Linked DNA regions of Xenopus tropicalis. The protein of the gene in region 2 interacts with the protein of the main gene of each other region in a pairwise test. Links are inferred from orthologs where the notes say so. Each region holds a gene or a part of one and is shown on either strand. Other genes may lie near its edges.

The links.
Region 1: the proteins of ptpn11 (region 2) and trim32 interact in binary tests that used the Homo sapiens proteins (3 or more experiments, as listed by UniProt). The link is inferred for Xenopus tropicalis from reciprocal best matches to the Homo sapiens genes PTPN11 and TRIM32.
Region 3: the proteins of ptpn11 (region 2) and gab2 interact in binary tests that used the Homo sapiens proteins (3 or more experiments, as listed by UniProt). The link is inferred for Xenopus tropicalis from reciprocal best matches to the Homo sapiens genes PTPN11 and GAB2.
Region 4: the proteins of ptpn11 (region 2) and tlk1 interact in binary tests that used the Homo sapiens proteins (3 or more experiments, as listed by UniProt). The link is inferred for Xenopus tropicalis from reciprocal best matches to the Homo sapiens genes PTPN11 and TLK1.

What each region holds. Positions count from the first base shown.
Region 1 is NC_030684.2:34,069,039-34,075,180, forward strand, and holds the start of trim32 (E3 ubiquitin-protein ligase TRIM32), read right to left. Parts: upstream 4,051-6,142; 5' UTR 4,032-4,050; intron 1-4,031. UniProt on the Homo sapiens protein: E3 ubiquitin ligase that plays a role in various biological processes including neural stem cell differentiation, innate immunity, inflammatory resonse and autophagy.
Region 2 is NC_030677.2:163,813,236-163,818,755, reverse strand, and holds part of ptpn11 (tyrosine-protein phosphatase non-receptor type 11), read right to left. Parts: intron 1,681-5,520; coding exon 1,558-1,680; intron 381-1,557; coding exon 186-380; intron 1-185. UniProt on the Homo sapiens protein: Acts downstream of various receptor and cytoplasmic protein tyrosine kinases to participate in the signal transduction from the cell surface to the nucleus. Positively regulates MAPK signal transduction pathway. Dephosphorylates GAB1, ARHGAP35 and EGFR.
Region 3 is NC_030678.2:169,072,111-169,078,386, reverse strand, and holds the start of gab2 (GRB2-associated-binding protein 2), read left to right. Parts: upstream 1-2,393; 5' UTR 2,394-2,840; coding exon 2,841-2,912; intron 2,913-6,276. UniProt on the Homo sapiens protein: Adapter protein which acts downstream of several membrane receptors including cytokine, antigen, hormone, cell matrix and growth factor receptors to regulate multiple signaling pathways.
Region 4 is NC_030685.2:67,884,289-67,890,594, reverse strand, and holds the start of tlk1 (serine/threonine-protein kinase tousled-like 1), read right to left. Parts: upstream 3,538-6,306; 5' UTR 3,374-3,537; intron 1-3,373. UniProt on the Homo sapiens protein: Rapidly and transiently inhibited by phosphorylation following the generation of DNA double-stranded breaks during S-phase. This is cell cycle checkpoint and ATM-pathway dependent and appears to regulate processes involved in chromatin assembly.

The DNA.
Region 1 (6,142 bases), on a different chromosome or scaffold from region 2:
GTATGAGACACAGTAGGAAGGAGGTCCCTGCCCCATAGAGCTTACAGCCTGATGCTGCCCCCAGCCTGCCCAACTGCAATGTCCTTTATATACTTGTGCCTGCCCCACCCCTCTCCAGAGACGTGATAGGAGGATCAGGCTGGGAGAGTGCAAGTTAAGTCAGCCATACACGCACCAATAATATTGTATGAAACCTCGTTTCGGTGCGTGTATGGCTGCTTGAAGAGGCGACTGATATCACAGAAGGCGGCGGATATTGGTCGATCGCCCAGGTCAAAAGATTTTGATGGCGCCCGAGCAAAATCTACATTCAGGGCTGAATCGGCAGAAGGAGGTAGAACATTGTACTTGATCCAAACTAAGATAGAATCAATCCTTATTAGTGGAAAAACAATTTGATTGGGTTTATTTAATGTTTAAATTGTGTTTTAGCAGACTTAAGGTATGGCAGACTTACGGACAGATCCCTTATCCGCAAAAACCCCAGGTCCCAAGCATTTGGATAACCGGTCCCGTACCTGTACAAATTACTTTCATATTTAACAATTTAAAAGACAATCAACGGCATCTAGTTATGTATTTCAAACATATTGATAAAACAAAAATAAATATTTTTGGTTTCTCTGGCTACAAGTGGAGCATAAACAGTGTCTTTTACATATTATTTTCTTTATTGCCAACATATTGCAGTGCTTTACAGAGAGTATGATTCACATCGGCCTCTGCCCCAGTGGAACTTCCAATTTATGTTCCTTATAATATTCAAACAACTTATGAACACTAGGGTTGGGTCGGGAACCATTTAACCTAGTGGGATAGATGTGAAAAAAAACAAACTAAGTTGTGAATGAATAGAATAATAATGCAGAGGTTGGTCTTTAACAAAACCATAGTGTTACTGATGTTGAATTTGAATGAAAATCAAATTCTTAATTAAATATCATCACTTTACCATTAAATGCCCCATATCCGAACAATATCACAGAACTGTGCCCAGCATTAGTTTGACTGATCACACACTATGCTATCTGTCTGCTATGTAAGAGTCTGAAAAATATGCTGTTGTCTTATGAGTGTTACTACTAATAATAATTATATGCCATTCATTTCTACAATCACAGTGACATTTGATACACATCTGGTTTTCTTATTTATAGCAAACCTATGCAGTAAGATATACATTTATTATTCTCGTGTAGCTCAGTATATTTACTGAGCTACATAGTGACCTGCATGCAGTGCCGCATAAAGATTCTTATTTTGCCACGTCTTTTTTTCTTCTGAGTGGCCTTTTATAATATAGCAAAAGCCCTGTTTTTAGACTGCAAGCTGTTTTGGGCAGGGCTTTCTTTAATGTGTTAGTTACCTACTACCTACTGTTCCTCTGATTCTGGAACAGTAGTACTGAGTTTAGTTATTCTGTAGTGGCCTCTGGTTATGTAGCATAATTACTAAGTTATTCAGCTGAGTGGCCTCTGGTTAAAGAACAGTAATACACATATGAGACTTACTATTCTGAATGCCTGCGACCTGGTGTTTTCTGGATAAGAGTTTTTTCAGTAATTAAAAATTATTTAAACATTAAACCCAACAGAATTTTTTGCCACCAGAATGGATTTATGTAACTTAGTGAGGATCAAGTACAAGGTACTGTTTCATTGTTACTGAGGAAAAGGAATAAATAAATAAATAAATAAATAATTTGCTTAAAATTTGTGGAATCTGTGTATAGTGGCCTTCCCATAATTTGAAGCTTTCTGGATATTGGGTTTCCAGATAAGAGATTGATACCTGCTGAGCAGCTCCTTTTTATGTTGCAGTGGTACTGAGTTTAGATATTTTTTTTAGCAAAGTAGCATCTGAAATCTGTACATTTCTAAAAGTGGCCACACACAATTTCGATCGTTCCCACCCTCCACTGACGTTCAGGGCTGAATCGTCAGATATGGGGGTAGAAACAATAGAAATTCTACCTCCTTCTGCCGATTCAGCCCTGAACCGATATTCACAGCCTTTTGCGATATCGGTCGCCTCGTCAAGCCACTATACGCGCACCGAATATCGTACGAAACTAGGTTTTGTACAAAATTATCGGTGTGTGTGTGTATGGCCGGCTTAAGGCTGATGTCCCACGGAGCGAGCTAGTCGCACAAGACAGATATCTGCTACCGCAGGCGACTAACCACTCCGAAATGCCTTTTCACCGGCAACAATAGGAGTCACTGGTAGAAAGGCCTACGCATCACTTCAGCTTTCCGAAGTCGCACAAAGTTTCCTCCTGCAGGCAACTTTGAGTGTCTTTGGAAAGTCAAAGCGATACATAGGTTTTTCCACCAGCGACTCCTATTGCTGACAGTGGGAAGGCATTTCAGAGCAATTAGTTGCTCATGGTTGCAGAGATCTATCGGGGGCGACATTGGACATTAGCTTAATATCCATAGAATCCAAAGTATGGTAACATCAGAACAAATTCCTTTCGGCTATGTTGTAATGCAATACAGTTACAAGATCCAGGTATGGGATACCATATGCGGAATCCTGTAAGCTCTAAATTAAGGGAAGCCCATCTCCAACAGAGTCAATTTTAAGCAAATAATTGTACAGGTATCGGACCACTTATCCGGAAACCCATTATCCAGAAAGTTTTGAATTACGGAAAGGCCGTCTCCCTTAGACTCCATTTCAAATAAGTCACATTTAAAAAATGATTTCCTTTTTCTCTGTAATAATAAAACAGTACCTGTACTTGATCCCAACTAAGATATAATTACCCCTTATTGGGGCAGAACAGTCCTATTGGGTTTATTTAATGGTTAAATGATTCCCTTTTCTCTGTAATTATAAAACAGTACCAGTACTTGATCCCAACTAAGATATAATTACCCCTTATTGGGGGCAGAACAGCCCTATTGGGTTTATTTAATGTTTAAATGATTCCCTTTTCTCTGTAATAATAAAACAGTATCTGTACTTGATCCTAACTAAGATATAATTACCCCTTATTGGGGGCAGAACAGCCCTATTGGGTTTATTTAATGGTTAAATGATTCCCTTTTCTCTGTAATAATAAAACAGTACTTGTACTTGATCCCAACTAAGATATAATTACCCCTTATTGGGGGCAGAACAGCCCTATTGGGTTTATTTCATGTTTAAATGATTCCCTTTTCTCTGTAATAATAAAACAGTACCTTGTACTTGATCCCAACTAAGATATAATTACCCCTTATTGGGGGTAGAACAGTCCTATTGGGTTTATTTAATGGTTAAATGATTCCCTTTTCTCTGTAATAATAAAACAGTACCTTGTACTTGATCCCAACTAAGAAATAATTACCCCTTATTGGGGGCAGAACAGCCCTATTGGGTTTATTTAATGTTTAAATGATTTTTTTTAGAAGACTTTAGGCAGTAGATCCGAATTACGGAAATATCCCTTATCCGAAAAAACCCAGGTGGCCGAGCATTCTGGATAATGGGTCCCATACCTGTAATTGTTTTTTTTTTTTTTTAAGTAAATCCTTTTTCTCTGTAATGTAAAAACAATGCATTGTACCTGGGGGAGCATTCGCTGCATGATTCCATATTTGTAGCAAATCAATACAATTGGGTTTATTTAATGTTTAAATAGTTTTTAGCAGCCTCATCTGGAAAACCCCACAGCCCATACATTGAGTATAATAAACTGCCAGTGTATGATCACAGCTGGTAAAATAATGCAGTAAAGTTGCAAATGTTCTCTACATGCATTATATTCCAAAGCAAATGCGGAAACATTATTTGATTGCTTTTATTAATATGTAGAATTTATTAAAGATCTTTCCTTTACAGCTTAATATAAAATATACATTATACTTGAATATGATTTAACAGGAACCCGTGACACATTCCCAAACCCCGGGGGGTAAAACTCCAATTGAGTCCCAATACGGCAATGCTGCGCCCCAGCCCTCCCAGCAACACAGCCGTATGGGGGCACTTCCCCCCTCCCCAGCACTTTACGTTTGCAAGGCACAACGTTCGCTTCTTACCTGCGGCAGGCAATCCGATATCACAGGTCAAAGTTCACCCGCTGACGCCACTTCCGCTCAGCCAAACTGCATGCTGGGTGTTGTAGTGTTTTCGAGGTAGAGAAATGACATGCGCCCTGCAATGTGTATCTGCTCGCTCTATACGGACAGTGCATAGGTTACGAAAAGTAATAAGCAATTTCATAACAATATGAATGAATAGCAAAGCTGGAGTGTATCCATGTTAGTCAGAATGTTGAGAATTTATTCTATATGAATAAAAAAAAATATGTAAAGAAAAATGTTTATTTGTTCAGCTGAGGTAAACAGCAACTTTGGCTGAGCAGCAGGGAGTTTGGGAAACCGGAAACTCCACTAAACGCCGATGAACACGGTCTAGCTGGAACTCAATAAAAGATTTTTGTAGAAACTAATAGCTTGAATTTTTTTATATATTTTTCAGGGAGTTTATTGCAACTTTCTAATGGCTGGGGCTAGAGCCACTGCAGGATTGGTTTTGAAGTTCTTTATTTTTCTTCAGAAAAAGTGGCAAATGCCATTCCAGGCCCCCAAATGACATAAGATTGGGGATCCGGAAATAGTTAAGGAATAGTCAACAAGAGCCACAAACTGTGCACGCTGAGAATTTTTCAACTATATGTGAGGAAAAGTTACATTTTAAGAATTCGGGTTCAGTTCAGCCGGGCACATGGATTGGGCCGAAATCCTGGCGAAAAAGGCTGAATACCAAACCGAATCCTGGATTCAGTGCATCCCTTATATATACAGGTATAGGACCCATTATCCAGAATGCTTGGGACCAAGGGTATTCCGGATAAGGGGGTCTTTCCATAATTTGGATCTCCATACCTTAAGTCTACTAAAAAATCAATAAAACATTAATTAAACCCAATAGGATTGTTTTGCATCCAATAAGGATTCGTTATATCGTAGTTGGGATCAGTTACAAGGTACTGTTTTATTTCTACATAAAAAAAGGAAATCAGTTTTAAAATTCTGAATTATTTGATTAAAATGGAGTCTATGGGAGACGGGCATTCCGTAATTCGGAGCTTTCTGGATAACGGGTTTCCGGATAAGGGGTCCAATACCTTTATATATATATCCCTAATATCTCTGCCTTCCAAAGATCTCTAAAAACACATTTATTTAGAGAAGCTTACCCTCATTTAGTTTAACATAACCTCAGTGTGCCCATTCCCACACCTTGGGGCACATTTACTAATCCACGAACGCTCCAAATGCGTCTGTGTTTTTTTCGTAATGATCGGTATTTTTGCAACTTTGCTGTCACCGTCGCGACTTTTTCGTATCTTGCATGTATTTTTCACAACTTTTTCGTCGCCGTCGCGAAAAAATCGCATTGTTGCGCCGAGTACGAAAGTTTCGGATTCATTCAAGCTTTGTGACTTTCCTTGGGCCAGGTTGGAGCTGCAGAGTGCCATTGAGCCCTATGGGAGACTTTCCTTGGGCCGGGTTGGAGCTGCAGAGTGCCATTGAGCCCTATGGGAGACTTTCCTTGGGCCGGGTTGGAGCTGCAGAGTGCCATTGAGCCCTATGGGAGACTTTCCTTGGGCCAGGTTGGAGCTGCAGAGTGCCATTGAGCCCTATGGGAGACTTTCCTTGGGCCAGGTTGGAGCTGCAGAGTGCCATTGAGCCCTATGGGAGACTTTCCTTGGGCCGGGTTGGAGCTGCAGAGTGCCATTGAGCCCTATGGGAGACTTTCCTTGGGCCAGGTTGGAGCTGCAGAGTGCCATTGAGCCCTATGGGAGACTTTCCTTGGGCCAGGTTGGAGCTGCAGAGTGCCATTGAGCCCTATGGGAGACTTTCCTTGGGCCAGGTTGGAGTTGCAGAGTGCCATTGAGCCCTATGGGAGACTTTCCTTGGGCCAGGTTGGAGCTGCAGAGTGCCATTGAGCCCTATGGGAGACTTTCCTTGGGCCGGGTTGGAGCTGCAGAGTGCCATTGAGCCCTATGGGAGACTTTCCTTGGGCCGGGTTGGAGCTGCAGAGTGCCATTGAGCCCTATGGGAGACTTTCCTTGGGCCAGGTTGGAGCTGCAGAGTGCCATTGAGCCCTATGGGAGACTTTCCTTGGGTCGGGTTGGAGCTGC
Region 2 (5,520 bases):
GCTCTACAAGTGGATCAATAGATTTATCAATATTACCGTTTCAGGAGATCCACTTCTCAAGTGCATATTCTTAAACTGGAGACTAATTCATAAGGTAATACAAAGAATTTGAGAAGGACTTTGAAGGTTAATACATGAAAGAAAAGTCAAAACATGTGTCAAGGTGAAAAACAGAGCTCTCTCACCTCTCAGATGTTGGGTCTGCACAGTTTAGTGGATATTTCAGTTCAATAACATCACCATTCTTTTCTTTCAGTTGCCCATGGTGTTCCATATAATACTGAACAAGTTCAGCCAATGTTGCAAACTTTTCCCCTCCATACAAGTCATAATAATCCCCAGTATTCTGTATTTTTATGTGTGTCACAGCTCCGTTCCGCCTAAAATGCAAAATGCAGTTAATTTAAGTAGAGACAGACAGAAGAGACATGAAGAGTGGCCTTTAAATTTACTTTTAGTATGATATAGAGCAGTTCTCCAACCAGTGTCTTGTGAGCAACAGGTTGCTCACCACCCCCTTTGATGTTGCTCCCAGTGGCCTCAAAGTAGGTGCCAGTTTTTTAATTTCTGGCTTGGAGGCGTGTTGTGGAAGCACAGAAACACAATTTTAAACCAAGGAGACCTACTGCTCCTCATTTGGTATCCCCAAAGTGTTGGCTCACCAACACTTTTTACACCTGAGTGTAGCTCACAAGTAAAAAAAAGCTTGTGGATCCCTAATGTAGAGAGTGTTTTTCTGAGACAATTTGCAATTGGTCTTAATTTTTTATTTGCAGTTTTTAAATTTAGTTTTTTGTTCAGAAACAAAAAAATATTTTCCCTTTTATATTATAAACAGAGTGAGAGACTAGCATGGTTTTTCTTTCAATCTGTGTAATCCAGTATGTATGTGTAAGGTCAGATACTAATCATGCAGCTTTTCTACTGTCCTCTGATATTTTGCAACAGACAATGGGTGAAATAACAGCGAAGTATTATGTAAAACATGCATTGTAATTTATTGTATAGTAAAATTAGTTAGACTGCATATTTACGTGAAATAATGGCTCTTCCCTTTTCACTTTACACAGAGTAAAATATCAACTCTACATGCAAAAACGATGATGTGCAACTAGTATGATGTTACATATACCAATTACATGGAGAAAAACTAAACAGCAATTACAGCTTTCTTAACTGCTTTTTAAAAAATCCAGTGGATTAAGCGGTTTTACAGTGCTGCAATATATGTTTGGAAATATATCTACTAGTGTGTAATGTGCATTAAATTTGAGGACTACTTAAACAAATTTGGTCCAGCCGTCAGAGCGAGAGAACATAATTAATAACAATTTATACCTAATATTGTGAGTTATAAGATCACATATAGTAAAGTTGCCAGATGGGAAAACTTCCAGAAAATCCAGATAGAAAGGCTGCATTAGTTCCAAATTAAATATAATCAGTGCAGCTCAGAAATATACACTTATTAGAAGTGATCTTGTAACCATAACATTTAGATCTAATGCACATTGGTGTATTATAGAAGAAGATGGATTCAATTAACTGCATACGCACCTCACAGACAATGTGAAATCTCCTGGATTACTCTTACTGGGGCGAGCTAAGAAACTTCCATCCACTCCTCGGGTAAGTAGCAAATTTTCTGCTTCAACACCAGTGATATTAGGGTGAAACCACCTAGACCACAAAGATATGCAAGAGGAAAATCAGCTTCTAAGAAATAATTAGCATCTTTCCTTCACTTTTTAGGGTAATTTGTGCTTGACCTGCATTAAAAAAATGACAACATTACAGCCTCTCTTCCTTATATGCAAGGACCATGCCTGGCCATTAAATCACCTTTAATCATACTTGTAGGGAAGACTATAAACTGCTACTTGGCAAATATGGCCAGCAACCAGAAAGTAAGTTGGCAGTGAAGCTAGATTAACTATAATAACTACTTATACTATGTGGCCTAATGTACTGGCAAATATTGTATGGCTGAAAGTATCCATCCAACCCTCTTAAAGGAAACAGTTCAGTGTAAAAGTTAAACTAGGTGAATAGATAGGCTGTGCTATATAACTTAGTATATTGAAAACATTTTTTATTTTGCACAGCCTATCTATTTACCCAGTTCTATTTTACACTGAACTGTTATTTTAAAGGAACAGTAACACCAAACAATGAAAGTGTAAAAAAGTAATTACAATATAATATACTGTTGCCCTGCATTGCTACAACTGGTGTGTTTGCCTCAGAAAGACTACTATAGTTTATATAAGTTAGCTGCTGTGTAGCCATGGGGGCAGCCATTCAATGGAGAAAAGGCACAGGTTACTTAACAGATAACAGATAAACCCCCATTATATGGGGCTTATCTACTAGTTATCTGCTATGTAATCTGTGCCTTTTCTCCTTTTTTCCAGCTTGAATGGCTGCCCCCATGGCTTCACAGCAGCTTATTTATATTGTAGCTTTTCTGTAGCAAAAACACCAGTTTTTTTTTTTGCAGAGCAACAGCACATTATATTTTAATTACTTTAAAACACTTTAATTTTTTGATGTTACTGTTCCTTTAAAATGCACATCTCAGGGTTAACATTGACAGCTAAGTTCCAGACTGTCTCTGGAAGTAATGTTAGGACAAAAATATTCATTGAGTTTTTCTGTGAACGGCCATACACAAGCCTAACATTACTATGTGCAATGCCATAAGCTTACAGAAGTAGTGTAAAGATGTATCTCAGTGGAAATTAAAGTCTACAGAACTAATATATTGCTGTAAATTGATGTTTGCTCATAAATGGCTTACATTCACAAGGCATTCGATACAAGCTACAGCTCTGTAGTATTTTCATATTTTAAATAATACAGTCAAACAGTTTCTACGCTGCTGCATTTTGCACAGCGTTGCAGTCCCCTCCAATTCTAATGTACTTCTATGGCTGCATTCCCTGGATTTTGTCCCATTTCCCTTAAAACATCAGCATTGTCATTTTTCCACACCAATTCTTCAGTCAAACCTCAATTTTATATCCCCTCCATTCTATGTTTTTTTTTTATTTTGCATTTAGTATAACAATGTACAAAGGTGTACCTTTTGGGGTTTCCCATGGTGCAGGGTTGGTATGAAATATAATTCAGGCACATATATAAAAACAATTAAAAATAAAGAAAGAGGGGGGGAAGGGAGTAAAGAGGGAGGGGTGAGAGAGGAAAGAAAAGTAGGAATGGAACATGGGTATAACTTGGGGATAAAATCTTGTGGATAGTTCTTTTATCAGTCATCATTTTTGCAGGCCTAAGGTTCGGGTTACTATTAGAGGTAGAAGATTTTGAGGAGGGTATTCTTGGGGGCTGTTGTGGTTAGCCCTATAGGTTTATTGGAATATTCCGGTAAGTCATCCAGGGAGCCCAAATTTTATTGTGGGTTTTTTGCTATCCTGTTGAAATGCTTGCAAGACTTTCCATAATTAACAGATTGTCCAGTCTGGAGTTTATATCCAATGTTGATTTCCAGGCTTTGGCTATTGTTTGTTTTGCTGCAGAGAAAAAATATGGGTAGTTAGTTTCCTCAGGTATTTATTGCCACCAGAAATGTTTTTGTTCAACAGAGCTTCTGCTGGGTTCTTCCGTAGTGATAGGCCTGTGACAGCCGTAATTAAAGTGTACATTCTTATCCAATAGCGGACTGCGACTGGGCAATCCCACCAAGTATGTATAAAGGTGCCTTGTTGGTTGCATGCTCGGAAGCATAATGGTGATGCGGATGGGTACCAATTAGATATTCTGGTAGGTACCAGATACCATTGATGTAGGATCTTTTGAGAAGTCTCTTGTATCAGTACATTTATGGAGCATGTTACCGAGTCTTTAAAGATGTCCAGCCAGGTGGCTTCATCAAAGCAAAAATTTAACCATTCTATGGTTCCATTCTATATGTAACCATTCATTATAAGCTAGAGAGGGATTTGCAGGCATTTTCAGGATTTATTGCAAATAAATCTTTAGTTTCTCCAAGTCTTTACTTTTTTTTTTTTCTTCACTGCAAAACTTAAACGTTAAGTGACTCCTCACAACCCCAGTCACTTCTTATTCTGCATTTATGACATCACAAAAAGTCACATACGCAATGTCTAAAAGGGCAGTATACCCCCATTTTCAACATTAGTTCAGAGAATAAGGCTTGTGCTGAACAAAGTTTTTACTTATTGATCTCAGTATTTCACGGAGAAGCCCTCTGAAAAAAAAACCCTACCTTTGCCTAACTGCAGCCTAATAGGCTGTGAGATAAGGAGCAGCTGACTATACAAAGGGCTTCTCAGTGGATTGCTGATTTATTTTGATTGTGCCACCAGGAAGCTGAATGTGACTTGTAATTTCATATGTTTCCCTGTTCAAAGCAAGAAATAACAAAAAACATACATATGTATTCATTAAAATAGGCAAAATTATATTTAACATAAGATTAAAAAAAATGTCTACAGTTCTACACAAAATGATACACACATACACCCACCTAAAACCCACACACATATCAGGAACTAAACAGCTGTACAGCATGCCAGACTCTTTCTTAACCATGCCCTGTAAAGGAAGGCATAGTGTTCACACTTCCACTGTTACAGCATATGCAGCATTATTACAGCACAGCTGTACTTTTAGCAAAGCTTCCCACTGCAAATAAAATGCTAATATCAGCTAATCCTATGATGCTAATATCAAGTGATCCCTGTACTAAACGCAAAATGATTATATCAGAAATGTAACAAAACATAAAGTAAGTTATATATTTTAACTACAATAAGTATTCTGTGTGCAAATACATAATTTTGGACTTATTCTGGCCCATCCACTTCTTAAAGGAACAGTAACACCAAAAAATTAAAGTGTTTTAAAGTAATTAAAATATAATGTACAGTTGCCCTGCACTGGTAAAACTGGTAAGTTTGCAACAGAAACGCTACTATAGTTTATATAAATGAGCTGCTATGTCAACACGGGGGCAGCCATTGAAGCTGGGAAAAAGGAGAAAAGGCACAGGCACATATCAGATAACATAAGCTTTGTAGAATATAATGGGGTTTTATCTGTTATCTGCTAAGTAACCTGTGCCTTTTCTCCTGTAAATGGCTGCCCCCATGGCTACACAGAAGCTTTATTATATAAACTATAGTAGTCTTTCTAAGGAAAACACACCAGTTGTACCAGTACAGGGCAGCATTACATTATAAAGTAATTACTTTTATACACTTTCATTTTTTGGTGTTACTGTCCCTTTAACACAAACAGTTTTACAAAAGTGCCTACAAAACCTAATTTTTGTGCACTTAGCCAAGAGTGCATGTAACTATACATCCGAGACAGATTTCTGAAACAAAAGGCAAGAATCTGTATTGTTCTTTTAAACAGACAATATGCTATTAAATGTGTATATGTTCTCATATATAGCACTTTTGCCAAAAACCAAATCTGGAAACCGGCAAAAAAATAAATTTATAAAAATGTTGTTTGCTTGTTGGACATACAGAC
Region 3 (6,276 bases), on a different chromosome or scaffold from region 2:
AAAGAGGGATCGGTTTTTTTGCTTCCTGGGGTCAATGACCCCCAACTGAAAGTTAAAAAAGAGTCAGAAGAGGAAGACAAATAATTGAAAAGCTAAATAGAATAGGCCATAATAAAGTGAACCACTCCTTGTGCAGGCTCCTAATATGTTCCTGGATCCTAGCTAATTTGTTAGGACCCAATATAGTATATTATAAGTACCAAGCTGGAATGAATCCAAGATCTTTCTCTGTTCCTAAGTAAAACAAACAAACATGGATCGGTCTGAAAACACAGCACTAGTATATAGGCGTGTATTCCGGGGGAATTCCCTACCAGTCATTTGAACTGAAGAAGCCACTCGGATGAGTGGGGAAACGTTTTCAAGAAAAAAACAGTTGTTTTAGACTTAATGCTACTAGATACTGTATATCATGACCTGGATGAATGAGAATCTTCATAGACACAGGCGTGTAATTCGTACACACGGCCACTAGATGGCGCAAACACTGAAAAACCTGAACTTCGTAACCTAGCGGAGAAATCGTGGGGCAGAAGCGCAGGTTAATGGATATGAATTGCGAATGAGGCCAATGTTTTTACATTTGAGGGCAGCACACAGAAGCTTTGAGTGAGACCTACAGAATTCTGTAAATATGTGGGTTTTCCTGCTGCACTGGACACAGTTATGAAAAATCCACTCAAAATTGCTGTCTTCCTAATCTGGAAGTGCAGGCTGCACTGATTTCTATGCAGCCATGCAGGGTGTATCTATAGGAATGGCTAAGCAGCATGGGGTGTTTATAAGCAAGTAAATGCTAGGGGTGAGGGCTCACCTTTATATATCACCTTTATATATATATATATATATATATATATATATTGCCCTCATTCGCCTTCCTATATTCTGAGTTATTTAGATGTGGCTAGTGAGACTATGCCCAGTTAGTCCCCCATAGCCCTCTAATGCAGATTTATTGTAGTCCAGTCTAATAGGAGTGTTACAATAAGTTGCATCCAATCCTCTAATCCTATCCAACCTGATCTGTTGGAACAAGAGTTGCATCCTCATTCACATCAGATCGGTTCTATGGGGCTTATTTGCACTTGTTTGCACTATTTGCTGGGATAGATATCCTTGGTATTTGCTATGGGGCATTCTTTGCTGCTGGGTAGTCGGAACCCACTGTGTGTATGTTTGCTGCTGGGTAGTCGGAACCCACTGTGTGTATGTGTTTGCTGCTGGGTAGTCGGAACCCACTGTGTGTATGTGTTTGCTGCTGGGTAGTCAGAACCCACTGTGTATGTTTTTGCTGCGGGATAGTCAGAACCCACTGTGCGTATGTGTTTGCTGCTGGATAGTCAGAACCCCCTGTGTATGTGTTTGCTGCTGGGTAGTCAGAACCCACTGTGTATGTTTTTGCTGCGGGATAGTCAGAACCCACTGTGCGTATGTGTTTGCTGCTGGATAGTCAGAACCCCCTGTATATGTGTTTGCTGCTGGGTAGTCGGAACCCACTGTGTATGTGTTTGCTGCTGGATAGTCAGAACCCACTGTGTGTATGTGTTTGCTGCTGGATAGTCAGAACCCACTGTGTATGTGTTTGCTGCTGGATAGTCAGAACCCACTGTGTGTATGTGTTTGCTGCTGGATAGTCAGAACCCACTGTGTATGTGTTTGCTGCTGGGTAGTCGGAACCCACTGTGTATGTGTTTGCTGCTGGATAGTCAGAACCCACTGTGCGTATGTGTTTGCTGCTGGATAGTCAGAACCCCCTGTGTATGTGTTTGCTGCTGGATAGTCAGAACCCACTGTGTGTATGTGTTTGCTGCTGGATAGTCAGAACCCACTGTGTATGTGTTTGCTGCTGGGTAGTCGGAACCCACTGTGTATGTGTTTGCTGCTGGATAGTCAGAACCCACTGTGTGTATGTGTTTGCTGCTGGATAGTCGGAACCCACTGTGTGTGTGTTTGCTGCTGGATAGTCAGAACCCACTGTGTGTATGTGTTTGCTGCTGGGTAGTCAGAACCCACTGTGTATGTGTTTGCTGCTGGATAGTCAGAACCCACTGTGTATGTGTTTGCTGCTGGGTAGTCAGAACCCACTGTGTATGTTTGCTCATTCACATCAGATCAGGTCGGTTCTATGGGGCCTATTTGCACCCCCAGTATAACAGGGGCTCTTGCTGGGATAGATTTCCTTGGTATTTGCGTCCCTGCTAACTGAATTGCAGTCATTGCATTGGGCTGTATATAAATCCATTTCTTTATTGGGCTTTAGGCAGGGGTGTGAGTTTAACCACTTGATTGCCTGAGTCACCCAAAGGCGTTGACAAACTCCCTGCCAGCTGAAGGGTTAAAAGCCCCAGCTGGTGACCACGCCCACTCCAGAAATATGGGTGTGGCTAGGCTGCACTGCTCTGGGAGACATACACACACACAGAGAGACAGTTTCCTGCTTCCCAAAGCGGCTGTGGCTGAGACAGGAGGGGACAGAGGGGACAGCAGGGACCGGGCAGCCCGGGATGAAGGCGCATCATTCAGCACAGTGAGGGCACTGTATGCTGGTACAGAGGGGGCACTGTACTGGCTGCCCCCCCCCTCACCCCCTGGGTGGCTCTGGGACACTGCAGGAGAGACCCCCCACCCATGGTACTGTGAGTGCCCCCCTGATGGTACTGATGGTGCTCTAACTGCTGGGAAAGTCTGACCCCCCCATGGAAAGTGAGTGACCCACCCCCGGTACCGAGACACCTTGGCTTGCGGTGCTGGTTCTGTTCCCAATGCTGCCGGGCTAACAGGGCAAGGAGGAGTCGTGCCCGGACCCCATAACCGCCTCCCGGTTATCCGACCCCCCCAGGATGAGCGGCGGAGAAGTGGTTTATTGCGGCTGGCTCAGAAAATCCCCCCCGGAGAAGAAGTTACGGAGATATGTAAGTACATGTGGCTGGGAGGAGTGGGGCAATTACATGGGGCAACTGGGCAGGGAAGCGGCTATGGGGCAATTACATGGGGCAGCTGGGCAGGGAAGCTGCTATGGGGCAATTACATGGGGCAACTGGGCAGGGAAGCGGCTATGGGGCAATTACATGGGGCAGCTGGGCAGGGAAGCTGCTATGGGGCAATTACATGGGGCAGCTGGGCAGGGAAGCTGCTGTGGGGCAATTACATGGGGCAACTGGGCAGGGAAGCGGCTATGGGGCAATTACATGGGGCAGCTGGGCAGGGAAGCTGCTGTGGGGCAATTACATGGGGCAGCTGGGCAGGGAAGCTGCTGTGGGGCAATTACATGGGGCAGCTGGGCAGGGAAGCTGCTGTGGGGCAATTACATGGGGCAGCTGGGCAGGGAAACTGCTGTGGGGCAATTACATGGGGCAGCTGGGCAGGGAAGCTGCTGTGGGGCAATTACATGGGGCAGCTGGGCAGGGAAGCTGCTGTGGGGCAATTACATGGGGCAGCTGGGCAGGGAAGCTGCTGTGGGGCAATTACATGGGGCAACTGGGCAGGGAAGCTGCTGTGGGGCAATTACATGGGGCAACTGGGCAGGGAAGCTGCTATGGGGCACTTGTATGGGGCAACTGGGCAGGGAAGCTGCTGTGGGGCAACTGGGCAGGGAAGCTGCTGTGGGGCAATTACATGGGGCAGTTGGGCAGGGAAGCTGCTATGGGGCAATTACATGGGGCAGCTGGGCAGGGAAGCTGCTGTGGGGCAATTACATGGGGCAGCTGGGCAGGGAAGCTGCTGTGGGGCAATTACATGGGGCAACTGGGCAGGGAAGCTGCTGTGGGGCAATTACATGGGGCAACTGGGCAGGGAAGCTGCTATGGGGCACTTGTATGGGGCAACTGGGCAGGGAAGCTGCTGTGGGGCAACTGGGCAGGGAAGCTGCTGTGGGGCAATTACATGGGGCAGCTGGGCAGGGAAGCTGCTGTGGGGCAATTACATGGGGCAACTGGGCAGGGAAGCTGCTGTGGGGCAATTACATGGGGCAACTGGGCAGGGAAGCTGCTATGGGGCACTTGTATGGGGCAACTGGGCAGGGAAGCTGCTGTGGGGCAACTGGGCAGGGAAGCTGCTGTGGGGCAATTACATGGGGCAGTTGGGCAGGGAAGCTGCTATGGGGCAATTACATGGGGCAGCTGGGCAGGGAAGCTGCTGTGGGGCAATTACATGGGGCAGCTGGGCAGGGAAGCTGCTGTGGGGCAATTACATGGGGCAGCTGGGCAGGGAAGCTGCTGTGGGGCAATTACATGGGGCAGCTGGGCAGGGAAGCTGCTGTGGGGCAATTACATGGGGCAGCTGGGCAGGGAAGCTGCTGTGGGGCACTTACATGGGGCAGTTGGACAGAGAAGCTGCTATTGGGCACTCACATGGGGCAGTTGGGCAGAGAAGCTGCTGTGGGGCACTGTGTTTGCTGCTGGGTAGTGAGAACCCACTGTGTATGTGTTTTGTGTTGGATAGTCGGAACCCACTGTGTATGTTTGGTGTTGGATAGTCGGAACCCACTGTGTATGTTTGGTGCTGGATAGTCGGAACCCACTGTGTATGTTTGGTGTTGGATAGTCGGAACCCACTGTGTGTATGTTTGGTGCTGGATAGTCGGAACCCACTGTGTATGTTTGGTGTTGGATAGTCGGAACCCACTGTGTATGTTTGGTGCTGGGTAGTCGGAACCCACTGTGTATGTTTATCGGGTGAGGGGGGGGAGTGTGCACCTGTCACAGGTGCGCGGAACTCAAACTGTAAACAAAGGCGGAGTGGGAGGAGCCTAATTAACCATTAACCCATTGAGTGCCGGGGGCGGTTAGAAGTTTGCCTCTGATGACACAGCAGCAGGTGTAACACTAAGCGGAGCAGAACGCTGCGGGGTTTGCGTTTCGCCGCTTGTTACATTGCGGCAGGTGTTTGGGCTGGTGACGTCACAGAGGAGGTTCCCGGGTGCGGGGCAAAGGGGGGGCAGCACCTGTCCGTATACTCGCAGTGTTCTTATATACCGTATATTGTTCTCTGCATAGGGGCGGGGCTTTATCCAACCCCCCCCCCCAACCCAACACACATGATTTCTGGGGGGGCTAGTAACAAATGCAGCTATTATGGCCCTAATTGGTTGGGGGCCACGCTTGGCAGTATGCGGGGAGAAAGTACGAGGTGCTTCTATGAACTGAATCTGAGTTAAATAGTGACCTGCAGGGGATGCTGGGAATTGTAGGTCAGCAATAGCCCCCCCCCATAAATAATGCAGCTAGCAGGACTGACAGCCATGAGTGTCACTGGGGCATGTGTGGAACATATGGGCCTCAGGGGAAATACATTTTAACCCCTTTTAGGTCTAGGAGAGGTTCTCTGTGATTTAGTGTTTAAATCTGCACTGTCGCCCATTCCCTGCCCTTAGGGAATATTGTCACAATCTGGAGTTTATTAAAGTTAGGGATATCCTACCAGCTAAATTGCCGAGAATCCTATATACTATACTATATATATATATATATATATATATATATATATATATATATATATATATATATATATATATATATACACACACACACACACACACACACACACACACACACAGTTATAAGCTATAACTACATTTAATATGAGTTAGTCCATACATTAACCCTTAATGTACCAACTATAGGAAACACAAAGGTGACTGTGACTGCTGTAGTTGGTCAGGTTGGAACAAGTACAGAGCACTCCACCTGGGAAAAGACCCTTTATTTGCTGGTACCATCTGACCCAAACTGCCTAGGGCCAATTGCACATTAAATATATAGCAATGAAACAGTTAAAATTCTTTATTGGCTCTTTACAGGCTCTGGAATCCAGATTACTACTGGTGCAGCAGGGTTAGGGTGCATGGGTGCTATAGTGTCAAGGTGCAGGCTTAGTTGCCCTTTTACTATGTAATTTAATCACTTTTATCACCGTTATTTGTAGCTGCAGCTGAATAGACTACAACTATATTGCACAGAATAGTAGTTACTACATGTAGTTGACTAGACTACTACACAGAGATTACTAGCACCTCCTAGCTGACAAGGCTACTAGAGGTTAGTAGCTTCCCCTAGTAGATGGCTACTAGCCTCAGTGGCCTAATAACGAGCCCCCAGATGGATGTGTGCTTGGCAGCTGGGATAAGAACTTGCCCCCCCCCCCCCCCCCCCAGTTATAGGGTCTCCTGTATGGTAGTTACGCCACTGACTAGCCTAGTACTACAGATCAGTAGCTCCTACTTGTAGCTTATTGGGCTACTACTATAGCTCCTAGAGATATAGTCGTTAAAGGGCAACT
Region 4 (6,306 bases), on a different chromosome or scaffold from region 2:
TTTTTTCATTTAAAGATTTGCCAGCACCCCCCTGATACAGTGAAACATTAGTTTTACAGACCCTAATTTGTTTTTCTGTCATCTACAATTTATTTGTGGTCCCACCAAGATATAATGCATAGAGAATTTCCCTGATGTCTAATTTTTTACGGATTTAACGCCATTTTTTCCTAGTTCCTTGAAAAACTTAAAATAGGCGTTCTACTGTAGTCCAACTTTCATTTCACTGGCCAAGTGCATACAGCAGATTTATATTTACACTTCTTGGGACTAAACAGCCCTTCGGAAATTACTACAGGCATGGGGGATCCCTTATCTGGAAACCCCTTATACAGAAAGTTCCGAATTACAGAAAGGCCATCTCCATCTTCCATAGACTCCATTATAAGCAAATAATTCTAATTTTTAAAAATGATTTCCTTTTTCTCTGTAATAATAAAACAGTACCTTGTACTTGATTTCAACTAAGATATAAATAATCCTTATTGGATGGAAAACAATCCTATTGGGTTTATTCAATATTTAAATGATTTTTAGCAGACTTAAGGTATGGCGATCCAAATTACGGAAAGATCCCAGTTCCCAAGCATTCTAGATAACAGGTCCCATAGCTGTATTTATTAGCTACTATATGTCATCACCTTGAGTAACAAAGTAAGATTTACTAAAATTCAAATGTTTGTTCAACTAATTTTTTTTTTTTTAATACAAAAGTTTTTTTCTTAATTATGAGTATATTTACAAAAAAATGTGATATAAAAAAAAAGTTTAATTGCAGAAAAACCTACCACACTCTACTATTCCTTTTTAACCAAGTCTGCAAATCTCTTTTTTAAAATCTGAAAATAGCTTGAATTTTGAAAATACAGTAGAACCCTGATTTTATGTTTCCCAGGGGACGGTGTCAAAACATGGCAAATTCCGGGTACGTAAACGTGGGGTTCTGATCTACCCTTCCCATTAAAGAAGCTTGCTAGGTTTTAGGTGCCAAATGTGAAAATTTTCTAATTTATAGATCTTGAATCGTTCAGATCAGAAAACTCAAATTTAATAATAATATTTACCAATTTTTCACTGTGGAAAACTTGTATTGCAGGGAAAAAAAACCACCATCTTGAATTTTAATAAAGCCCCATAGGCTGGTTCCTTATAGTGAATAAACAATATACTTAATAACTACTGTAACAAAACTGTGTGCCAAAAATTGCATTTATTTGCTTAAAATAAAGACTTCATTGTACAGGTATGGTACCGGTTATCCAAAATGCTCTGGCACGGGGTTTTACAGAAAAGGGTTCTTTCCAGAATTTGGAGCACCATACCTTAAGTCTGCTAAAAATCATTTAAACATGAAATAAGCCCAATAGGACTATGTTGGCACCAGTAAGGATTCATGCAGCTTAGCTAACATTAAGTTCAAGGCGCTGTTTTATTATTACAGCGAAAAAGAAAAGTGTATAAAAGTCTGAATTATTTGCTTAAAATTAAGTTTATGAGAAACGGTCTTCCTGTAAATCGGAGCTTTCTGGATAACAGGTTTACAGATAAGGGATTCCTTACCTGTACTGTCACTTAAGCATGTATGCGGAGATATTTTCTACACAGTTTGACAAACCAAGCCACTCAGGTTGTAGCATACACCATTACTATTGTACCAATGTGCAGAATACTTAGACAGAAGACACTTATTTCCTTGTCGCACCCCCATGTGAACTAGCCAAGTACAAACATAATCCGTACAGGAGCCATATTGATTCTCAGAACTTGCTAGAGAACTTCAAAGTGTGGCTCTCCTACAGATGTTAAACTGCACCTCCCTACAGTAAAAGACTGCTGAAAGTTACAGCGCAGGATCAGCAAGATGCAGCTGTGCGCGTGATTGCATACAGGAGGGCAGATTCTGCAGGGGTGATTAAAAAGCAATTGTCTATGCCAAACAACTCCAATGTGCCACAGGGCACCATGCCTACTTCTCTCTCTGCTCCTGGAAAGTCACCAGACATGTAACTAAATATTAAAGTTATTCAATGCATGCATTACCACTAATATTTAGCAAAACAGCCACAGGCAGGTAATAGCCAATAATGATAACCGGCTTAGAATTTTTAGAAAACCTCCATGAAAACTTGCCCTTTAAATCAGTTTATATGATTCAAAGGCCACTGGGATCCATCTAAGAACTACACTTGTGCTGATGAACTGGCTTACATGCCAAAAAGAACATCCCAAGAAATAGAAAGTCAACATTCCTTTACACACAGAACTTCCAGAAGACAGCAGCAGGGTATGCCAGCATGGATTCCACTGGCAGCCCAGCAACAACATGAACATTGTGAATATCACATGTCACTGTGTGTGTAATCCCAGTGTGCAGCACTGCATAGTTTGCTCAAGTTTTTAGATGGGAGTGACAGCAAGCAGTTCCTACCCAATGTTTATCATGGAATATGACTGATGGCATTTAGGCTAGAGCAAATGGCTGCAACCATGGCTGCACTGGTTATAAGTGATGTAACAACAACAGGGGGTGCACAATGAAAGAAAGGGTTATACCAGACAACTTTAGCTCAGTAGTTTTAAAGTTCTATGTAATGAAGTTGCAACTGAAAGCAGTGGCTGTTTATATTGCCTGCACTTTCTGACTCCAGAAACAATGTAGCAAAAGATAGCTGATTAGAAAAGTCAAACTAAAAAGGGGTGCAACCTTTTCTAAAAGGAACAACAGCCCAGGAAAAAAACTTAGTGATATTGTATGGGGGGGGGGGGGGTCCTAAAATACCAGCACCCAAATCCAAGCTTGACATGGGGCATATCTGTATTCTGCTACATTATATCAAGAGTCAGAAGCAAAGAAGTGCAAAGCAAATACTGTTTTTAATTCCAATTACAAAGCTTGAAAGTTACTGAAATTTTGACATGAATGTATGTTGCTAACTTGTTCAGAACTGCAGTTTTTTTTTCCCTTTGGAAAAAATGTATTTGGGAGGTTTACATTCCACGTAAACTAAAAAGTTAACCCGTTGCGTGAGAGGAGAGCTAGACAGGGAACATCAATGACATATAGGAGGACAAAGGTCTCCAAAGCAGGGTCTGGCTGTCAAACTGAATAGCAGGATGTGGAAAGGCACACCACCATTCCTACAGACGAAACAGCAGCTTCGGGGAGAATGGACTTCAACCTCTCTACACAACTGGATGTTGCAAGTGTTGGAATGGGCAGATCTGAAACATTACAAGAGACCAGCGTCTTCTTTTCTCACCCCCCCCCCCCTTTTTTTTTTCTCTCTCTCTCTCTCTCTCTCTCTCTCTCTGGAGATCCGGCTGCTGCTAAATGAAGTGCATACAGAGCAGGAACTGACAATGGCTCACATACCGCCCAGCAGTCCCGCTGTTTGCCGGACAGTCCCGAATTTCTCAACACAGCCCGCAGTCCCGGATCGCTGTTTAAACGTCCCGCAACGCCATTTAAATGTCCAGCTCCTCGGCTCCTGCCGACCTGCACATCCAGACTCACAAGTCTCATCTCGCGAGACTGTGACGTCACGGGCAGAAGTCTATAAGCGCGGTGACGCGGCACGTAGCCGCCTTAGGGGAGTGACGGCCAGTGACGGGCGCGTCTGTGTCACTCAAGTCTAAGTTTCTAGTAACACGCGGTGTTTGTGCAGTGCGGATTCCACATTTTTCTTTCACCTCATGGCTTCTGCTTTCGTCAGAGAACAAGAAATAATGGGGAAAAAGATTTGTTTTTCCCTGCTCATTGATTAAAACTTAATAAATATTTTCTTTGCTTATGCGACGTCATACTTGTGCCAGGGAGCAAAAATAAAAACACCTCTTTTCTGATGGGCGCCGCCAACAGCTGCTGAGTTTGTGCTCCTAAAGTGAAAATATTGTAGTTTTTTTCTGGTTTCCTGACACGTTGACTTCCACTCTCTTGTCACTAATTCCCTGGGGTTTTCAAATTTCTCTACTGAATTCAATATACATGCTGCAAAAGCAATGGGTGATGTCACTTCCAGCTAGGGTTTCTAGTATTTTAGTGGCCTAGTCTTGCTGGCAACTTTGTCTTGTCCGCTTGTTTCTCAACTAATTGACCCCAATGCCTGCTAAAATCTTAGGCTGATGCCACACGAGGCGTAGGGCTGAAATTTTCGGCAAGCGGATAAACGCTTGCTGAAAATTCAGCCCTACGCCTGCTACTTGTGCCTGCACCCGAATGAATGGGATATGCTCGGGTGCAGGCACATGTAGCCGATATACGCATAAAAAAAAGAGACTTTGCATTCTCTCATGTTTTCATGCGTATATCGGCTACATGTGCCTGCACCCGAGCGTATCCCATTCATTCGGGTGCAGGCACAAGTAGCAGGCGTAGGGCTGATTTTTTGGCAAGCGTTTTTCCGCTTGCCGAAAAAATCAGCCCTACACCGCGTGTGGCATCAGCCTTACCTTTCCTGTCCTAATTTTTACAAATCTCTCCTGCAGACTAGAGCTGGGCGGTATGACCAAAAATTTATACCACGGTATTTTTCAAAATTATATCGGTGTCACGGTATTTGACGGTATTTTTTTCCATGCATGAGTAGGTGTTAACCCCATTTCCTAATAAATTAGGGAATAATTACTGCAGTATTGAAAATCAGAGTCAGGCAAGCGAAGGATCGGCAACAGAAAGTCGTAAGGTAAATCAGGCAGGCTTAGTTTCCCAGGCAAGGCCGCAGACAACATAGCACAGGAGGAGGCGTTTGATAGCTTTAAATACCCCCCACGCATGCGCAGAACCAGCGCCGTCAGCGCGTCACGGACATGCACGCTTTGACATGTACGTGCGCTTTGACGCACGCGTGTGCGCAATGTCCCGCGGACAACGGGACGCACGCACGCAAGGAGGCGCGCGAGACCGGCCTGCACGGGTGAGTACCCTGACACCCCCGGTATTGCGGTATCTGAAAAATGAATATAGTTTAAAAAAAAACACCGGTATTCCATATTAAACGGTATTTCGCCCAGCCATACTGCAGACTGCCCGCTACTCCACCCAAAAATGTTATCAATTCGCCCCCTGACATCATCAGCCATAAAGTCACAGCTTTACCCTTAGGTCAGGTGGGTTATGGTTGAAATTTGGGCAACCATTGGGGGTTTGGGTTGGATGTGGGTCAGATTGGGGAAGTACGTTCTTCCTCTGCTCACGAAGGTGATGCTTTTCTCTCTCGGAACATAAGATGGGCACAGAAGTATTTTACATAGTGGGAAGATGTGGGTTTTGGGTTGGGTGCTGGTCCTTCAATGGCAACGTTTTGCAGGTTACGGTCAGTGGCGGTTAGGTTTAGTGGATTAGGGTCGGGGGCGGGCTTTCTCTGACTCACACATTACTACACGCCTGGTATTTTACAACTCAAAAGGTGGAAACCCTTCTTCTTCCGACAGCAGCCTCTGCCATGACAACATTTTTCAGACCCCTGGCCAGGGTTGATACCTCTGGGCTGCCTACCTACCACAATCAGAGCCTTTTTTCCCACTTTGACCAATCTGAGTGTCCCGGTGTTTTTTGCACCAAAAAGGGTAAACTTTTTCTCAATAAATAATGGCTACTTTAGGAGAAAGTAATGTGTGAAATTGACCAAAGGAAATCTTGAGTTTTTAGTCTCTTTTTTTGAAATTAGCATCAGTGTCAAGATTTAGGAAAAGATCTAGGGCATTTAGAAGAGGACAGGGTGAACTTGAGCAAAAGTAATCTTTAACTCTTCATTTATTTTGGTACCAGGGGCATAAATACAGTAGAAGCAGTCCTGCAGTTGCAAAGGGGCCCAGGAGTGTAGAGGGCCCAGTGAAGCCCTGATTAATGATCACTAATATTATATCATGGTAGAATACATCAAATTACAAATATTTTGGAGCCCTAAATTGAATTTGCTCTGGGGCTTAGCAGCTTCTAGTTACACCACTTCCTGGTACAAACTCCCAAGTGCGCAGGGTCCCTGTTAGTTCCGCAGCAGAATGTTCTGATGCCCTAAAAAGGGTGAAGACCGGTGCTGGCAGGGGTTTCTCCTGTTACACTGAGCTGTCACCCAGGTTTACCCTAAACAGACCATAAGGCTACTGACACAAATGTTTTATGTTGAGACTTGGAACATATTTTTTACAATTTAAGGACAAAAGAAGGGCAAATTTAGGGGGAAGACAATGGGTGATACATACCAACATTAATTGTAGTTTTGGGAATTTTTTTTCATGGTGGCATTTGGGGGGTCCATGTGTATTTTGTGCAAACAAGAGCCAGAATTTTTAAAATTTAGAACAAAA